2 linked regions of the Styela clava genome follow. The protein of the gene in region 2 binds, or shares a complex with, the protein of the main gene of each other region. Links are inferred from orthologs where the notes say so. Each region holds a gene or a part of one and is shown on either strand. Other genes may lie near its edges.

Evidence for each region. The genes of interacting proteins can lie anywhere in the genome.
Region 1: U4/U6 small nuclear ribonucleoprotein Prp3-like (region 2) and U6 snRNA-associated Sm-like protein LSm3 share a complex: the UniProt entries of both Homo sapiens proteins name them as parts of the precatalytic spliceosome. The link is inferred for Styela clava from reciprocal best matches to the Homo sapiens genes PRPF3 and LSM3.

What each region holds. Positions count from the first base shown.
Region 1 is NC_135261.1:10,467,409-10,477,902, reverse strand, and holds U6 snRNA-associated Sm-like protein LSm3, read right to left. Parts: upstream 3,426-10,494; 5' UTR 3,285-3,425; coding exon 3,264-3,284; intron 2,357-3,263; coding exon 2,063-2,356; 3' UTR 1,689-2,062; downstream 1-1,688. Other genes in the region: prohibitin 1-like, read left to right, coding at 925-1,064; dmX-like protein 1, read left to right, coding at 3,799-3,885, 3,968-4,093, 4,700-4,774, 4,852-4,933, 5,388-5,498, 6,030-6,089, 6,598-6,806, 8,618-8,769 and 2 more. UniProt on the Homo sapiens protein: Plays a role in pre-mRNA splicing as component of the U4/U6-U5 tri-snRNP complex that is involved in spliceosome assembly, and as component of the precatalytic spliceosome (spliceosome B complex).
Region 2 is NC_135262.1:3,870,365-3,880,663, reverse strand, and holds the start of U4/U6 small nuclear ribonucleoprotein Prp3-like, read right to left. Parts: upstream 4,767-10,299; 5' UTR 4,420-4,766; coding exon 4,269-4,419; intron 3,455-4,268; coding exon 3,351-3,454; intron 2,974-3,350; coding exon 2,854-2,973; intron 1,662-2,853; coding exon 1,557-1,661; intron 347-1,556; coding exon 229-346; intron 32-228; coding exon 1-31. UniProt on the Homo sapiens protein: Plays a role in pre-mRNA splicing as component of the U4/U6-U5 tri-snRNP complex that is involved in spliceosome assembly, and as component of the precatalytic spliceosome (spliceosome B complex).

The DNA.
Region 1 (10,494 bases), on a different chromosome or scaffold from region 2:
ATTATACGGCTGATATTTTGCATAACCATGTTTCCAGAGTTATAAAGGGAGATCCCATGGTTAGGTGAACTGGTCGAAATATAATTAGTGTTTTGAAAACTGTTGAATGCTGAGAGTTAAAAATTGCACAGACTCTCAATATCTCATTCAGTTGATTAAAATGGATTCATTTATTTTTGTATAACTCTCACTAAAATGATGGCAACCAAGAAATTCAAAATTGCATTCAGGGAGGTCACAAATTTGGAACCAGTTTGATGACATTATTATATGATAACCGTATTGTTATTGTACAACAGCCATTGAAATGCATAAGTGCAATTATTTTTCATGGTAATAGATGAATAAAACAAGTCCCATTGAAAGAAGGTATTGCTATTAAAAGGACCCCAATCAATTTAGTCTTAATTACCTGTACCATGTTTCTGTGATTACTAACTCAACATCTCCAAATCGATTCTATTTATAGAACTAGCGCTTCTTTCAATAAAAAAATTGCCTTTTTCTCTTTGTGTACTCTCTCAAAACGTGATTTTAAATGTTACTCCGGATAATAACTTTTCAATCATCATCATGCATGAAAAGGCTAATCATATGTCACTGGGTATTAGGAGAGACACCTTTTTAATACAAAATGAAAGCAGAGAAAGATTGGGAAAACAGTTAGGAAGAGGCGAGAGTCGTTGAAGCACACAGCCCGACTAATGCGGATGTATATATCGGCAGTTTACCTTTATTCTTTTGTAGCCCACTTCTGTCGCCCATCAACGGTGGTCTAGTATGACTTTATGTAATGGTTTGTCTAGTCATCAGTACGACCTCAAAGACCATGTTTTTCTAATTTTGTTAAGAGGCAGGATGACCATTTTACTATCAGTAACCTTATATGTTAAAAATGTCTCAAATTTAACTTTGTATTAACAGCGGAAGCTGGTGAAGGTCTGATTGAACTTCGTAAGCTGGAGGCAGCAGAGGAAATCGCCCAAGTAATTTCACATTCAAAGAACGTTTCATACCTTCCATCAAATCAACAAGTACTACTGGCGCTTCCTGCTCAACAGTAATCATGGTTGACCAGTGACTATATATCACATCATGTGGTGGAACAATTGTAAATTAAGACTAGCAATTAATTTGTGCTTTTCAAGTTGAATGCGAGTGATAACTGTTCTTGTGGTCTCTGCGCTTTCTGGTATCTCGTCCTTTACAATATAGTGATTGATAAGTGTTCCTGGAAACATGAAGTAAACAACAAAACAGCCTTGATCACTTTGCTCTCATTCGGACCATTAAAATACAGTTTTGATTATAAACCGTGTTTATGACTGTTTGGAATAGCAAAAAAGTGTGGTCAAGGGGAATTCTGGTTTATTTCTGTAATACTGCTGATTAGGTTTATATACTAGCGAAGCAGGACAGGATTCTGTGCATTCGATAAACTTCATGCAAAAATTTGTTCGTGTTTAGCACCATGATTCAGCCTGGAGAAGTTAATATTGGCCATTCAGTAAAGGTGTGGGAGTCTGGAGACACTTGGAGTTCTTCAACCAGTGGGTCGCAAATTTGTTCTGTTGTCAATATTCCAATAAAGCAAATCCCTTTTATTAATTGCAGTTCTGATCCCAGGATCCTCTAAATAGGCATATTTTCTAAATGTACGCAATCATACATACTCAATGATCGTAGTATGCCTTTTTAGTCAGATATTATTGAAGGAAAAGAAAGTCGTGATATCAATGACAATGGATTTCCAAAATCATGGATTTAAGCATAGGTGGTGGAAGAAAAGCACTGATTAACAATAAAAGTATGATTCGAGCAAAGTTTGTGGTACGAAAGTCAACACCATTCACCAATTTTATTAGGAAATTGTACTGTCTTTTTAAAAGAAACTGAGTATATCTTTCAATTTTGTCTCCCCTATTAAATTTCAGCATAACTGCCAGGGTTTTAATGTATTTCCCTGTTTTAAAGGATGCTGCTCATGCAACATATTCCTGACTATGCTGAACAGCATTCAGTTAGTTGTAAAATATTTGTGCAATGGTTAAAAACTTCAGTGTCATGCCATTCCTCGAAGAGGTGGCGACACCAAAATTACTCCATCACCTCGCACAAACAACATTGGAATGTTTCTTTTAGTTTGTTTATAAATTTCTTCATAAGTCTCTTCATCAATTTCAACTGCGGTCACGGTTTCTTCTACTTCTCCGAGAACCATGTTAAGATGTTGGTCGTATGCATGTAGTCGACCACGAAGTTCTCGTTCGTTTCGCATTTTTACATAAACCCTTTCGTCCAAACTCAATCGAATCAGATCAAGAGGCTCTTCTACTGTCTGTGTGACTGGCGGTGGCTGTAAAAGTAAGATTATATGTAAGTTATTTGAGCATTTTTCAGTCGTAAGTCAGTAGGGCACAGTTCTCTAATTCCAAGATGTCTCTGAAACGAGGGCATCTGGCACGACTGCAATGGTTTGCCAATGTAGAGGCCCAGACTGTCTCTTAAAAGAGGGGTTTGCACTCACTGTAATAAATGATATCTTTTGATGTAGGGGCTATCCTTTGAATCTGAGAACTGTGTCGTACTGTAAGTATAAGTCTGTTTCGACTACAGAATCAGGAGAGCAAACAAAACCTTAGATAAGGTTTGAAATTTACAGAATCATTTACATAAGAGTAGGGGTGCGGCGGTGTGGCTCATCGTGCTAAGCGTTAGGAATATGCTTGCCACCGCATCTTTGATTACTCTGCGTGGGTTCGCAAGTTCGAAACCCATGCAGGGATAGTTATGTGCGAGAGGATTGCTCGCCGTCATAGAGTGGTTCACGTAACCGCTGGTCAGTTATGGTTCCCTCCACCATCAAGTCCGTGCTACCGAAAACAAACAACTAATCCTATACCCGACATGGAAACCGGACGAGAGGCCCTGGTTCGCCATATTGTTAAGCTGTCTTAGCGACTTACCTCTCCCCGGGAGATAAATATGTGAATCCTATTTATGTGTGTGAATTAAATTAATAGGCCTACAACCGAAAAGACATAATGCAGTACCGTAATAATTGAAAAACAAACTAGGAACCTAAGATAAACAAAAATGAAAACTAGACAAAGTAATAAAAAGATATTCGCCACACCGTATGAATAATTTTGTAAGGAGTGCTAAATTGAACAGGAAACTCATATCATTGCTGCATGGAGAGAGCTTTTTCATGAAATAAAAATCTATCCTGAAGTTTCATTACCAAATATTAAATTTCTTACCGGCTGCTCATCATCTGCCATTTTGCCGCGATTTAACTCTAGCACAAGTTTTCTAGGTAAGTGACAATTTTTCGAATAGGCTTGACAAATAAATTCCCAAGGCTTCTTAGCTCTTTTGCGCTAAATTACCTGATCCCCGCGTTCCATATCGAAATGTGTTGGAGGCGTGGCATAGGCGGGGATACCAATAGAACTAGTGACCCATGACCGATAACTTTTTTATATTTCCCCTTTTCTACAAAACCATAATTCACGGAATACTGTTTTGAAAGTAAAAATAATAACCTATATTTTCATATTTGTACTTAAAAAATATACATATAAGCCATTAGTAATCAAATATATTAACCCAGATAAAAATTGATTTTTTGTTGTGAAATCTTGATCGACCAAACGTCAATCAATCGACTTTGTTTATGTCTTTCGCTGACTGGTTCCTTAGGTCTGTAGATAGAGTATCTTGGTCTTTGTAATTTGCGACTTTGTTGTATTGTATGGAATTTGTCGTTTAATTGAAACAATTTAATGTACCGGGATGCGGCGACATCAAGTTTTAACTGGAGCTGTTAACCCAGGAAATCACTGTTTCAGTGTAGGCAGCATTGCAAGTTTCACGTTTTGGGTAAGGTAGCAAGATAATATACACAACCATTTGCAGTCGTTTGTAGATTAAGTTCTTATAGCCGAAATTATTTTGTATTCAGGCATATGGATCAGGATGTGATCTGGTAATATTGGGAGTAGATCTTCAACCCATTCACATTATACCTGGTCATGTAAAAGGGTACAAACTTATTACTTGTCTGGATTGCTGTCAATTTGTTGGAAAGGTAGGCTATATTTATATCTATTTCAGTATTTGGCAAACTATATTTTAATTTTGTGGGTATGATATCCTAAGTAGAGGACTGAGTATACTGTCAGTCTGTCACTTTATGTTAGAGATCATGAGATCAAGCCTCGTTTTGTTCAATCTCAATTTATGTCCTCTACTTCATTGTAAAAGTGCCATGGTTTACATAGGTTATTTTTATTGAACCTATGCAGCATGCCACTAATAAGTAGCTTTCTGTACAAAGACTTATTTGGGGAGGTTAGGTGAAATTGTCTTATCAAAATCTTATAAATTTTAGTTGAACATTTTTAGAACTTTAATTTTCTGAAGGTATGTTCAATGAATGGCCACTCCATAAACAGTTTGTGTTGAAGGCCAATTTAGTTTAAATTAGAATATTTGTACAAATACTTTCTGAATTTTAAAAGCTTAGAATGAAATTGAATAGCATTTTCTGCTATTTATGTCACAGAATTATTGTTTACAAGTGTGTTACGAACTACAAAGCATTCACTATGATTATTTTGAATAGATCAATATTTGAAATTGCAACTTGCAGGAATACTTTTATTGTATCATTTACCACCATATTGTTTTCTAGATTGCTGTTTCATATGGACGAGACATTGTTATATATCATCCAAAACTTTTGCGAAACGAAAATGACGATGTACCGGTGAGTATTTGTCTCGCATAACTTCACAGGCAATGATACAAACTGAAACCATTTTTATTAAAATATACATTTTTCAGGTTTTTACATGGATTGAAGAAACAACATTAACATTGAAAGAAAGTGTGGGACGGGCAACTGTTTTGTCCTGGGCATCTACTGGTATGGCATTGACTTTATTAATATATATATATTTATGTTTTAATATTAATTATTTATTATTGCATAAAAATTTTGGGTGCCACTTTGGTATGCGATCTCACTTGCTTAACATGATCTCAATTGTTTAATCTAATGAAGACATTCTCATAGGATTCAGTTCCGAACGCTAACTAATGTGTCTGAAATCACAGAACCGCTGAGATAGCATCCGAAGTAGCACGCAAGTATGTTACTCTACATTTATTTGGTGTGATTAACCAACTTATTTAAATTTGAAATTGGTCGTAAGTAAATCAGTTTTGAGATGTAGATGTTCTAATTTTTCATTCAACAAATATAAGACATTTTTCGGTATATTTAGAGTAGACGCAAAATAAATTTATTTGTCTTATTGTCGCATATTTTCTCTGCTTGTTTTACTATTAATGATATCTTGTCAAATATTATTTTGAAGGTGAAAGACTTCTTGTTGGATGCAATGAGATACTACTGTATGAGATCAAAAAAGAATCTGCAAAAGAACCAAAGAGTCACACTTTAAAAGTGCAATTTTCTATTGAAGAAAGTGAGATTTATTTGTATTTCTAACAAACAAATATTAATCTAAATCTGAAAGGACAATTCAGATGTATTTTCCATCGGAACTCACAACTACGAATTAAGAGTATTTTAGATTCTATTTCCCTACTCCAGTGTAGCATAGTTTTACAAAATTTCAACTCCTGTCTCCTATGGGTTTAAATTTTTTTTGACCTCTGACGTCTAAAATTTTGCAAACTGCAATATCGTTTACGAAATATGATTTATGAAATATCCAGCCTGCGTCTTTACCTCTAGGTCTCAGAATTCACAGCTCTTAAGTTAAGTCAGGCTGTTTGCTTGTGAGGGATAGTACATGCTGGGACATTGAAATAACCAGCACAGAACCAATTTAGTTTTATCACAGTTATCATAATCATTTTTTCCCTCTTGTGATATCAATGAAATCTATCATTCTAGTTATGGAGTTTCATATTTTGACTTTCTCGTATTCGTTTGGCTTATTCACTCTAAATATTACTTATGTTTTATTCAATTTTGTTTTGCAATATTTTAGTTGAGGAAGAAGATGAGACAGAAGACAATTTTACAGCAGAAGAAGAAGCTGTACCTCAAGGTAGACTGATGGTTATATTTCAAAAACAGAAATTTTTTTAATTTCTGTTAAACTTGGATGTGTGAAATTGTGTAGGCTATAAGAAAGCAAAAAAATGGGTGCTCCCGAAGCATGTGAATCAAGATGGTTAGGGTCAGGCGATAATTTCAAGTACAAAGACTGCAGGAGCCACTTGGCTAGTCCCCGAACTCGTGATAACACTAAAATAAGGAAAATTGGAATTAAATTATGGCCTATCCCTAACCTGGTACACATACTACATTTAGGTGTCTGCCATCTTGGTTCACATACTTCGGGAATACCAAAAAGTGTTCTCTTTTCTGCAACCCAGTAGCGTTCTGAGTAGTTGCTGGAATGACCTGTCTTTGGAGTGAAAATATGTAATACTTTATAAAACGGATTTGCAGCCTTTTTTTCATTCAAAAATCGTTGATACATGGTTCCCACTTGTCAATGAATTTTCTATGCCAACATTATATTCACATTTGAAATCCGTAACATTTTTCAGAAGTAAAATGGGAGTTGGCTTGGAGCAGCGGAATAGAAGAAAATCCGCATGATGTTCAATATGCACCTGATGATACTTTGTTTGCTTCTATTTCTTGTGGTGACTCCATGATTAAAGTATGGCATCAACGAAATGCCCTGCCAATGCACCTGTTCAAAGATGCCTCCAGTCCTGGCAAAAAACACACTCAGGATGGGAATATTCAAAATGTAAGGGAATTTTCTGACTTTGTGTTTTATATTCTCAATTCTCTTGTTTTCAATTTATCATTTTTTGTGTCCTTCTCCTTTCAATGTTGATTCCCATGTGTGTGCTCGGATATTGGAATTATGTGTGTTCAAGGGAAATGATGTAGCCTACTCGTTACTATGTAGTTACATTATTCAAGGGGATTGCTGTACTCATTACTGTTGCAAGCCTCACTCCACAGTTTGTGATTTTCAACTGGTTAGTTATTTCACACCAATGTGGACTGGTAAATGGATAGAGCCTCGACCCCTGATATATGTTATTAAAAGGTATCTTTGTTATATGGATAAATATGGAAAATACTATGCTATGTTAAATGCGAGATATGTTGATAAAATTATTATATAACTTCTGTAAGGCTTACTGTAGTTTTCACTTTTCCGGATTTTAATATGTGAAGCAGTGTAGTGGTATTATTTAAATTGCTTTGGACATTTTATCTATTTGTTTGACTCCTAAATACTTAGTCCAAAAACTATTTGTACAAATAAGCTTGGACTTCAGTTTAAAAATCAGTTTTGTGGTCTCCTTCCAATTATCCTAATCCTCCCGGTTTGACGCATGCGCGACGTTTTGCAATGCTGTGTGTATACCATGAGGTCTGGAATGTTTGTTATGGTCTTGCTTGAAAGGAAATCTTATTCCCCACACAACGATATGAGAATGAACCTTATATGACATTTAGAAGTGATAAAATTTCGCTTACATATCACGCGTGTACTTCCCGCTGCGATATAAAAACGTCGCACAACAAGAAAATGATTCCATAAACCTTGGCGTTGCGCGCTAACCAATAACAAAAGCTAGTATGATAAGGTCTTATTTTGAAGGTCATTTTATATGCTACATAACATAGAAGAGTGGACATCTCACAACGTCAGGAAGTTATAAAAATATCGAGTCGTTTGATCGCAGCTGCCTCACCGAAAAAAAGTTAGGCGTTTTATCTCGCAAATTCTCCTTGTCTGACGATTATAAGCTTTTATGATTCATAATAAATGTTTTATTATGACTCACAAAAGCTTTCAACGCGATAAAGCACAAACAAACAACCGATCGATCTATCAAGCTTAGCCTGGCCTGATTCGATGTGGTGACTTCTCAAACGGAAAATTTCCAAAACGCTTCAACAACGCGCGCTATGGAAAAGCGTTTAGTATCATATGAAAGAGAAAACCAATGTGCAGTCAACTGTATAGTCACATTTCAGCTTTACAATAGCTGTAGACGTCTATCAGCTGATAGAATGAGAGAGTGTAAATATTTTTGTTATTTTTTGACGTTACGAGAGACCTCTTGAAAGAGGTGTTTTAGTTTACGGTCCTCCAGTGACATCTAGCGTATAGTACTCTAAAATACCTTTCCAATGGTATATAATTATTGTATATTGGGTAAATTTTGGGGGTCGTATGACATTAATAAAAATGTATTCAAAATTGGGCTCGATTGGGCGTCTGAAACAGGTTATAATAGCTCCTGAAATAGCGTTAGATATCAGTGGATGCTTCTATGGGGCCTTGTTTGGAGTGAGTGACATGAAAAACGTTACTTTCTGATCCTGTTTGTGAAACCAGCGGACAAAGACTTTCCGAGTCTTGATACCTCCTGATATTAAAATTGCATGAATTGATATAAATGAAAATTCTGCCTAAAAAGGGACATATATTCAGAAAAATTGTAATTTTGACCATTATATTTATACAAGGTCTTGAAAAATAAAAGTCAAACACCCAAAAATTAAAAACGATTCAACACATATGCTTATTTTCAGACAATGTCAAGCACAAGTCATATGGATCTTCATGAGCAATACCATACTTCTCTACCTACAACAACTAAATTGGATTTTACGTTCACTTATTTGGTTCATCCTAAACCTGTTGCTGGATTTTCATGGAGAAAAGGAGTTCCATTATTACCAAAGTATGATGCTTAATATTTTTGTGATCATTCAGGTCTGGTATCTGGTATATAGTATCACCTGTCGAAAGGGATGGAGGAAACTGAATACTTTTGCATTATGGATATATTTCAAATTGATTCATTTTTTGGGGATCAATTTTAGAAACATTGTGATTATGGCAAAAATTAAAATACAGTTTGCAGTAATTAATTAAATTTATTTCCAGTACTAGGTGTCTGATATAGGTTTTCCGTCCATGCGTAAGAGGCACTTACTCATAGTCATAAATATTGAAATAGCTCAATTTGGGAGGTGCAGAAATATTTTTATGTTAGCATGTCTTTTGATTTGATTCAGTTATTTTGCTCAAAAAAAGTTGTGAGAAATTACAGTATATAAGATGCACTGGGACAGGATGTGCCGGTATATCAAATATCAAACTAGTTTTGTGTGTCTGGCTGTATTCTTGTCTGCAGTCTAATTGAGAAGGTTACAACTTTATGTGGATGATACATAAAAAGTAACTTGTAGTTTTAATGCTATTTTATTATTTTATATTATAGCGGTTCTGTTCCCAACGTTCTGATAAGCTCATGTCGAGATAACATGTGCAGAATTTGGTGTGAAACTCTGACTCGAGAAACTGATGTTACCAAACTTGCTGCGGCTCATGCAACAACTCAACCTAAGCATCAAATTGGAAAGAAAAGACATCATCTGAATCAGGATAAAGGAACACCAGGAACCGTTCCTGTCAAAAAGGTTGGTAGAAAAGGTTTCATGTGATAAATTTTCTGAGATTTGAGGATTTTAGTGCCATATCTAACCTGGTGTAGAGGTAAATTGATAAGCTTATTTGATTATATTATATACAAAAGACTATTGTCCAATCATCAGTTCAGGATGGGTATAAGAATTGCTAAAGATCTATGGACTTGCCAGTTGTAACTGACCAACGATGACATGACAACTCTGGGACGGCGAGGGGCCAGAAAACTTATTGCACAGAATTACCCTGATGATACAATGGCATTCGAAACTGAAAACAAACACACACAGCGAGGATGACCATATTTTTTTAATGCATGCCTTGCTTACTTTTTTACTCAACTGTTATAAGGTAGTCAACAACCAATTACAGTACATTATCATGTTTCTAATTAGACTTCGATAGCAACATTGTTAAGTTGGTTTCCTGATTTAGAATATTTTTTGTGTTGCACGATACACACATTATTCTTGTAAACTGGGGGACCATAAAAATCCTCCCTCGCTGAAATTAGTTCAATACTTTTGGTTCCGGTTCTGGTAATTCGGAAAAATTAATTCTTAATTTTTACATTTTTTTTAGTCTGTCAGTGCTCCAATGATGAGTCACAACAACGAAGGAAAGATGCCTGATTTTCAAATTCCTAAACAACCAATCAAGAGATTATTTCGGCATTTTCATATTGCTGCAACCATAAACCCAACATCAGGTACTTCAAAAATATTAATTACATCTAATCATATAGTTACCGATACTCACTAGAATGATTTAATGTGTGTGATGATGAAGTATTTTCAATTGAGGTATAGCTGCTATTAATATTCAGTAACTGATAATAATAAATAATTATATACTTTGTGCATTATTGCATCATTTCACAAACACTTGTTAGTGCAAAGGTATGAGTAAAATGGTATAAAGAATGTCTAAAATGATTTAAATCAATTACAAATTAATTATAATTAAATATTATATT
Region 2 (10,299 bases):
GTCATTGCTTCGGGGGTCGAAGGTGGTGCACCTAAGTTTAAACAGAAAATCAGTTAATAATTGACATAGATTCAGGGTAATGTTACACACTGAGTCCTCTTCTGTTGACAAAAGTTGGACCAAATGTTCCACTGAAATAGAGGAAAATAAAACCATGAGTAACCTGAGATATATCTGTACCACTAGCAATATTAACCTGTATGTTGGACAAACCCTTGCAACACTTACTTAAGAGTCCAGGCCTAGCAGCTAATTTTTCTTGTATTTTTCTCTGCAATTCTGCAGCCTTTTCAGCTTTTGTCATTGAACTTTCTATTAGAGCCTGCTGTTCACTGCCATTGGAAATCTGCAAAATTTTCACAAAAAATGATAATTAATATAGATGTGATGATTAATATAGAAATGAAAGCACAACGCGACCCAATGTAGTATTTTCGAGTGCTATGATCTGAGGTTCTGGGTTTCATTTACGGTATGTTTCAATAGTTTCCTAAAAAATTTTGATATATTTGGTAAAGGAATGACTTCACTCAAAAATTGTTGCACCAGCACAGCACGATGCATAAGACAATATCCTTAACATACAGGGTGTCCACGAAGTTCTCATCACAACCTTGGTGATTTGTTTAGCATTTCAAAGAAAAATCAGGCAAAGATGAGGAAGAAGAGTTGACATTTTGCCTTTATTCCTTACGCCTACATGTTTACAGACTTTGAATACGTGGAGTACACGTTAATTATCACCAAAATTTTTATCGTTTTCACGCCGTGAGTTTTTTCTCTGATAATTTGGCACTGCACGAACAAAATCTCTGGGAACCGCTGCCGCACAGAGAATTTGAAGCCATGCAAATTAAATAATTGCAGTACAATGAGAACATGTTAATAATGCTCAGCATGACAATGACTGTGTTAAATTCTACATGAAAAAAGAAAGAGGATGAGGGAGCTCGACCACACAACAAACTAATGGGAACCGAGAAAAGGTGATGTTGTATAGTCTAGCACTGACATGGGCAAACTACGTCCCGTGGGTAATTCAGTTAGGCAATTCAATCTGCTTGTCTGATGCTGCCACAATCGAACTAAAACCAAATTTTGATGTTTTAGCTGTCAAATAGCTCGAAAAAATTTATTGCAATTTTAGTTTTGGCATGAGGCTTATTTTTCAAATTTGCTTTTGTAACACTGTAAATTTATTCTTAAAATGTAACTTTCAACGTCATAATTACATGGCCCGCCAGTCTAGGTGGGCAAAATTGTTGGCCCCTGGTTCAAAAACCTTGCCCTCCCCTGGTATAGCAATTCTCAGACACATAAAACATGTTAGTTTTCAACCGTATTTCAGGCTATGCTCTTCCTCCTTGCTTTCTCTGAACCAAGTTGACTTACTTTAAAAATTGTGTTAGGTGTCATCATGGTTTGTGGCAGAGAAGCAAATATAAATGATTGATCTTCAGAATTTGAAGCAAATTGAACCAATTAACATGACGACAAATAGGTCGCTAACCAACGAGGCAACATTTTTATTCCCCAATATATACGTGATCCGATACCTTAGCTGCTTCAGCCTGAGCTCTGATATCAGCTGGATCCATCATTTTCAATTGTTCCTTCCTTTGTTCAATTTGTTTTCTGGCGTGTTCCATCATGTTTTTGATCTGTATGTTGGAAAGAGGATAATGATAGTTAGCAGTAACGCAAAAAAATTATACACTGATAGTTAGGCATACCTAGCACAGGTATGTAGAAAATGAAAACAGTATTCAAATATATCTAAAGATAGTTATATTCTATATACAGTATTTTACGGAAGGCAGCGTTTCAAATACTTTTTTCTGAAAATTGATTGTGCGGCTTCCGAGCCAACGCGACGCGCCTAATGTAATAGACCAGGTAATGTGCCTGCGCTCAAAACCAGTACGGTTCCGCCTTATGTATGAATAAAAACCCAATCTGAGCAATTTATTGACGGTGCGCATCATGACCTAGTGTGCTGCGTAAAATACGTTAGTTAATTCGTGATTTTAGGGACTTTAAGTGTTTTATATATTTATCCAATGACTTTGAATTTGGAATAGCATATGAGTAATTCAGAAAAACATCAATTTGAGTGGTCTTCTCTTCCATATTACCGATATAGACTCCATATATTAAATGGAGGCTTTTCTGGTCACACTGTGGAACTATGATATTTTTGATATAAAATGTATTTAAAATAACTAAATATGAGACGATAAGGTCGAGTAGTTAAATGCAATAGATGAATATCAGAAGTTAAGCATATTAAGCCCAAGGCCCACGACATGACACACAAATATATTAGACATGCTGATTAGTAAAATTAGTTATTGTCCAGGTATAAGCAGCTACTTATCTGGAGCTTTAAGTGAGGAAATAATTAGTTACATATACCGTAGTTTTATTCCGCTGAAGATTATTTGGCGATACGCATATTCTTTGAATAGTGGCAACACTGCGGTTTAGTTAGAACTGTATAAAAAGCGACTAGCCCTATTCTTGTGAAAGCTAGTTGATACGTCTCAAGCTGAATGAATTTGGCTGGCGGTCGTATCCGAACAGTGGATTGCCTAACATTGATTAAATGAGCGCTGCATTCAGGGTGTTGATGAGTCATATCATTGTTAGAGTGTATGTCCTAAAAACTCAACCTATGCTACATAATAACGAATTAAATTGAAGATTGTTGCATTTTTATAGCCTTATCAACTCTTACTGGTAAAATTGATGGGGTTCAATGGAAGCTTGCAGAATAACATAGGATTTCGGCAGGTTCGTATAGGTTAATTGAAAGATAGTAAGTGAATGGAAACGACAAAATCTCGTCTTCACCTGTTGAGTGGTGAGCATTCCAGGACTCTCAGCGATGGGTTCAGCAGGAAGAGCAACAGGAATATCAGGTTCAACAAAACGACGAACTTTCTTGGTCCCTGCTGTTTCAACTTCATCCTCCTAAAACAATATGATTAGAAAGAATAAGAATTGCTTTGTTGACAGGTAAGTTACTTGACGACAAGTGTGAAATTATTTCAAAATGGGGCAATTGCAATATAAATATTCGACTTGTTTGAGAGCCACAAAAAACTGTTCCCACACAAAAACCTACATGAAAATCAAATCTTAATCGCCAAGACAACGAATTTCTGGTAAACCAGATATTTTAAGTCTGCATTCAAATAATTCACTTCGCATTTTGAGATTTCAAATTCTAATCGTTTCCACCTAACCTGTATTTATTATATGCCAATCAATCTGGCAACATGTCTAGAACCTTGTTCAGAGCCTGCTCATAAAAAATGGTTCCGAAGAAAAAACAAAGAAAAACTGACCTTTCTTTTTCTGCTTTTCTTTTTCGTTTTAGAAAGTTCAACTGTTGTATACAACTCCTCAACAAACTTTTTTGCTGATTTATCCATCAGAGGTTGCAGATGTTCTGAATGAAATGTTGTGAATAAATAAGAGGTTCAATAAGAAGCTATATTTTAAAACTTGAAAAACGTGAAGTCTCAAAAACGCAATAACAAATGTCAGATATGTAACTCTAATATAAAATCCTAGCCATTCCTTACTGTCAATGAGAGATGCGCTTCATTGCATGACATTAGGTGATATGTTTCTTTTCAACACTTTTAATTTCAAATTATAGATTTACGAGATGATTCACATCAAATAGGTAAAATTTGTTCTCAATACCAACATAACTGCTCTGTCACTGGAGATATTAATAAGCAAAAATGATAGCACTGGATGCATCTCTATCCAATAATGATCTACCGGATAAATAAATAATTTCAATCTTCAATTTCACAATATTTGCTATTGAACCATAAGTATAACCATGAACCATGTTTATAGGTATACCATAAAGAGATGTCTGAATAAAATGATGTTTGAGAACGACAAAGAGTCCTTGTAGAAGTAAGATGAACACAACTAGGAGCCGAGTCGAAAAACCAATCGATAAGACACCAACATTCTTATGATAACGATCAGCATGAGTCGATTTCATATTTATTCCGCCAATGAAAATCTTAGAGTAATAGATATTCAGGTGGTTAAGCCCCGAGAACTCTAATAAATAAAAATTGATACACAAATAACAGAATAAAGACTGAAAGAGGAAATAGAAACAACAACTTCCAGAAATTGTTCAGGAGATGCAACAAAGATTTTTGCATTTCAAATGGAGGGCTTTAGAAATCCTGTTTACGATTTATCATTGTGGTAAAGCAACAATAAATACAAACCAATTATTCTTCCTTTGTCCATGTCCTTCTGTAGACATTGGATTGCTGCCACGACAACAGAATTGTCGGAGAAACCAAGTACTTTTTCAACAATTCCACTGATTTGAGGCTTCAATTCATCAGCTTCTTTTCTTGATAACGCCATTTTCATAGTTGATTTAGAACTGAAAAACAAAATCCTGGAACAGTGATAACTTTTGCTTTTAAAATGTAAACTACAGAACTAGCCTATCTAGATTCAGAAAATTGTTAAAGTTATCCTAGGCTACTGTCTGAAAATATGCTATGTATTTCAATTGGAGGTAGATTCGAAAGGGTGAATAACGTACACGATGTTACAGCCATTTTATTTGATCAAGGACAAAAGGATAGGATTTTACAAATTCTCTGAAACATGAGGTGATGGTAGAAACAGGCAATCTGTTTTGTAATAAAACCCTATCAAATATAAAGTTAAGTATTATTAATAAGTGGAATCTCAGTAAACATGAACCGCTAAAATTAATTCATGACACCAAAATGCCGAATAATCTAAAAATCTACAGCAATAGTCTAATAATAATGCTAACTTCACAGTGGTGAATTATTAAACCGCACTCGGTAAAAGTGCATAACAGATGCCAGATTTCTCCATGGAAATAAGAAATCTCAGAAATAATTTCTGTTCTAATATAAGTATAATATTAAAAGTATATTGTATATACTTATGACGATATAATTATTAGTAAATAGTGAACTTGAATTATGACAGATTCAATGCTAAAATATACATATGTCTCAGTTTGATGCACTGCAATCTGGCATGATGCATTTTGTATTAAAAAAAACGTCTCGCATACGTTTTACCGATGGTGGTCGGAGTCAAAGACAACTGAACATAAACCATTATATTACATTGAGGTGTATGTATACACTTCATAAAGGAATTTATTCCATGACATATGTCAATTGTACTATCTTAATTAATATGTAGAGCTAACTTTTCACTCACTCGAGTGCGTTGCATCGACCTATTCTGGCCTATCTATATGTTATTTAGCTGTGTAAATTGCTCACAGCAGTACTCATATTGAAGAGTAAACACAGGAGTTGAATTGTGTTAGTATAGAATAAATAGGGATTATAAAGCCGCCAGTGAGGATAGAACTCACGACCTCTGGTTTACAAGACCAGTGCTCTAAACACTGAGCTATGGCAGCCAACGTACAACGCGACAAAAATACGAGGCCGCATCCTGATCGAAAATCAAAGAAAAGCATTTTAAAAATACATCCCTGGCTGGATACTGGTGTAAGACGGGGAGTCATTATCTATCGTACCCTTACCCTTATTTTTCAAGAATTTCTCTCTTTTCCGTCGTTGATATCGAGCCAATGTATTTAGAACTGGAAGTTCATTGCTGTGGCTAATGGGTAACATTCAAAGTAAATTTAGAAATTGCTTTGCAGAAAACGAGAAGATAGATGGAAGCCACCAGTGAGGACCGAACTCACGACCCCTGGTCCACGAGACCAGTGCTCCAACCACTGAGGTATGGCGGCCGATACACCAATGTACAAAGCTACGGAATATTAAATAGTCTCAGGACTTCTGCCACAAATCGGTCTTGACAAAGCTGATAATCGCAATTATCATGGAATCATGTCCAATGATATCTGAATGTGCGTCATTATAGGGAATCGAACTCACACTCGCTGTACAGTAATTTTGCATTTTATCGTTTTGGCGACACGCATGCTATGGTTATTACAGCGATAATACGGCACGGTAATTGGTTAATTTAAGTTTAAACGTATTCCTTGGTTTGTTTCATTTGTTGATAATATCATGTAAATAATCAAAGCTTCGCTATTAAAGATCGCTATTATCGAGATCACAATCTCAATTACATGTCTGGTATGGGATTAGATAGCCAATTATTTCTTTCAAATGCATGGACTTGTTGATAGAGGGAGTCGTAACCGAGCAGTGGTCACGGAAACCACCCAACGGCGACAAGGATTCCAGCAATCCTCTGGCACATAATTATCACCCAGGGGTTTAGAATCAGCAAACCCACGCAGGGTAGTCAGAGGCGCGATGGTTAATATGGTGGCCGGCATAATCATCAAAATAATGTGAAGATCGGAAATGAAAAAGATTATTATTTGCATTATTTGAATAAAACGCAAGTAGGAATCCACCAATGAAGCGTTAGCTCATGTCGCTGGGTTTACAAAATGGTTGCTCTGAACACTAAGCAAATTGTGTTCATTTGGAGTTTATCCATTAAGAGGAACTACAAAAAAAAGAATTGAAGACAGAGGCACAAGTGAGGATAGAACTGTGGCTTACAAGAGTGCTGTAGCCAATGACAAACGCCGGCGCCCAGACGCCCACGCTTGCAACAGGATTAAACCCCAGATTTTCACTTTACTCGTCATAAGACTAATATGAATAAGCTGATATAAACAGAGCCGATACTAGCTCCTTACCTACTACATAAAATGATCACGACGTAACTTGGAGTCTGTCACGACTTTCTCCGTCAACCATGACTGTATAACAATAAGCTAGCAATTCTCAACCAAACTATAAGAGAACAATATATCGTGGTGCTTTTATCAAGCCGTTTTATTGGCTCCCCCTCCCTTGGGAGATTACGAAGCCCTTCTTGGTGGCTCGATGGCTTGGCAGTTAAAACGCATAAATTTTAAATGTATTACAATAACATATTACACATCTAGGGTTTGCCCCTCACGCAAGGTGTAATAAAATGGCGATTTCGAATTGGAAAGATTCTGTACGATCCAAATATTAGCAGCACGTTAGACCTCATGGTTGCTTGTACAAGGCCCTGTCCAGAGCGAAAGACGTTTTCACATAAGCGTCGTATTAACAAAAAAGCGATGCTCAAATATATAAACACCGAGTTCAAAACGTACCGGATTCAAATATTTTATTTTAGTCTTACATGGAATATTGTATCGACATAAGTAATAAAAAAGTGGTAACAAAAAGTTCAATTGAAATAAAGACCCATACAATATTTTCGCAATTGACGCGTGGCTGCGAAAGACTACCAGACTCATCGTGCCAGCGCAGCGTGTTTGCTGAGTTCACAAAACAATTTTGCAAAAATAAATGAAATCGAGAGAGTCAGGAGATTACCGCAAACTTCACGACTAACGCAAACGTAACCTTCGCAAGGTGTGCAATTTTTGATATCGTAATCGTACACAAAAAAAAACGAATCAAATAGGGTCCACAGAAATTGTTGAAATAAATAAAAGTAATAGCCTTCTGACGAAAAATACAATTTTAAAACACTGAAAATTCCAAAGCAGTATAGATAATGTGAAAATGTAGAAACGGAAATCGTATTCTGATCTGTTTTAGCCATCTATCAGCCAAACCGGCTGTTTCGCTGCCAAATTTTTATATTAAAATTTTTAATCTTGCATGATAATTATGAAGAAATATATCAATCGACATGTGTGAAATAGAAAATACGACGTTATATTGGCACAAAATCATGCGCCATGACTCGATGTATCAGTTTCATACGATAAGTAGGCTCAAACATTTATTTATTTCAACACCAACAGTAGCCAAATTCTATTGGTTTTCTAATTGAACACCGAGAATACTAGCGCCAGTGCTTAATGCATCTGAATCAATCAAAGCATTTGGATCCCAAACATATACTTCTTAATATATATATATGTGTGTGTGTGATATTTCCCTTTTTTGAACCGAAATAATGTGCACTATTAATAATGCCCAAAGAGTATTGTTTTAAACCGTCTGCCCTGCACACTTGAGGTACTAATTACATAATATCGGTATCGTAATATCGGCCGTTTTCGAATATCGGCGTCGGCTTTTTTCATTGGTATCGGCGACAAAAGTGGTATCGGTACATCTCTAATGCAAACTTGTCGTCCACAGTATTAATCTTGCTGTTTCGATATGGGAGATGAGGTGAAACCTCGACCCCGAAAAGCCATTTTCATGTACTACTCTTTTGTCGTTGAGATTACATTCTCGAAGGAAAAGATCACTATATATTTGAATACTGGAAATCATAGGATTTGGCCTGACATATTTGACGGATCTATAATAATTTAAGTTGAACTAAATACTTCATCACGATAGTTCAGAAGAAAATATTACAATATGGTTTAATCTGACAATAACATCGATCTGAAAGAAGACAGACCCCATGTACGTGTTCTTGTTATTTGGCACCAAGTGAACCATTTTAGTGGCAATTGTATTTTTATTTCTCCACTCAGTTGGAGATTTGGCGTATGTAAATACAGTGACGAAATTCGGCACTACATATTTGTACAGCCAGGTGTATGTGCACCAAGATGGTGGACGCCGGAAAGTAGTATGTGTACCAGGTTAGGGTTAGGCACAAATTTCAGGTACGAATAATAAGGGAGTCACTTGGCTAGTCCCTGATCTCGTGAAAGATTTAAAACGAGAATATCGGTTGGAAACCGAAGACTTATCGATCGATAGTTAGGGGATCCCCCAAAACGGAAACTGCAGTTTCGATTCATCCGCTCTTGTAACTTGCGCACTGCGCATCGCACACACACACACTCGGCGGGTCTCAAAATTCTCTCGCTTTACAAAAATCTAGATCACTATATCAATAATTGATTGATAACCTGCTAATTATACGACCTAATTCGCCCAAAATCAATAGGCTACTGGTCCGAGATAAGATGAATGCACATGCAAAATCTGGAGCAGATTCAATCTCGCTTTCGTGAGATATCGCGTGCATCTAACAGACATACATACAGACAGACTAATACCTATCAACATACTTACCGATTAAAATCGATAAGTAATAAGGAAAATTAGAATAAAATTATGGCCTAATAACTTCAACCTGGTACACACACTACGTTCCGGTGACCGCCACAGTGATTTCCCTACACCCCCCCTATAGGGGGTGAACACCCCCCCTAAAATTTCAAACACCCCCCCTAATTTTGAGGTGAGATTCCACACTGTAATTCCTAACTCTAGTATAATTGTATTCAAATATAACGCCTATGGCATATTCATCAGTGTAGATGAGTGGTTCCAAACCGCAGTCTGCGGGCCAATTACGGCTCGCGTGACGATTTAAAATGGCCCGCCGAACTTGAGTGAAATAGTTTAACCCTTCATGTGGTACATTTTGAGTTTTAGATACCGTCTATTGTTACATCATTATCACCGTTTAAGGACGTTTATTTCGTAACATTTGAATTATATCGGTATCTTATGTATACGTATGGGTATTAGGATTACACACTGCAGTATTTTAGATATCAGCCGTATATTAGGAAAGCTTAATAATGTCACAAAACGAAAACTAGGCACCGAAAACAGACGTTTTTTAGATGAATGATAGCGTTTTTATTTTTTTATTGAAAAGAATCAAATTTCAGCGATTTGTCTTCTTACCAACAAAATATTTCAGTTCTGAAGGAATACAACATTATGCGCCATTATGATCAGTTGACGCGCGTATTTCAAAATTTAATTCATTGCATAATTCATACAAAGTTCAAACAAACATGTTAAAAAAAATGTGAAATGTGTAACAAAACAAGCCATAAGTAGCCATTCATACAATGCCAGATGAGCTAGTAACTTCATTAGTCACTATCAGTTGCAAATTACTTGTTGAAACCTAGTAGTATATAGTTACGGTGGAAAGCCTTGCTTTATTATCTATTTCCCGGGAGTTCTATCAGCTAAATATTATAATTATTGATTTCATTACATAACAAACTGCGATGCTAGGTGTATCTAAAATCGAGCTTAGAGCCTATTTTGGTGCCTATTTCTCAAAATTTTCTCAGGGCGCTTAGGCGCGCCCTGAACCCCAGCCGTGCCGTCCCGTACTTTTCCTCGCTGCCCTTTTCTGGCCCTACAATTTTATTCTGCTGTGGATTTTGGCTCGCCGTCAATCAACTTGGGGGGCCCCTCTAGTACATCGTTTCTTAAATACATACCATTTTTTTAAGAATACAATTAGCCT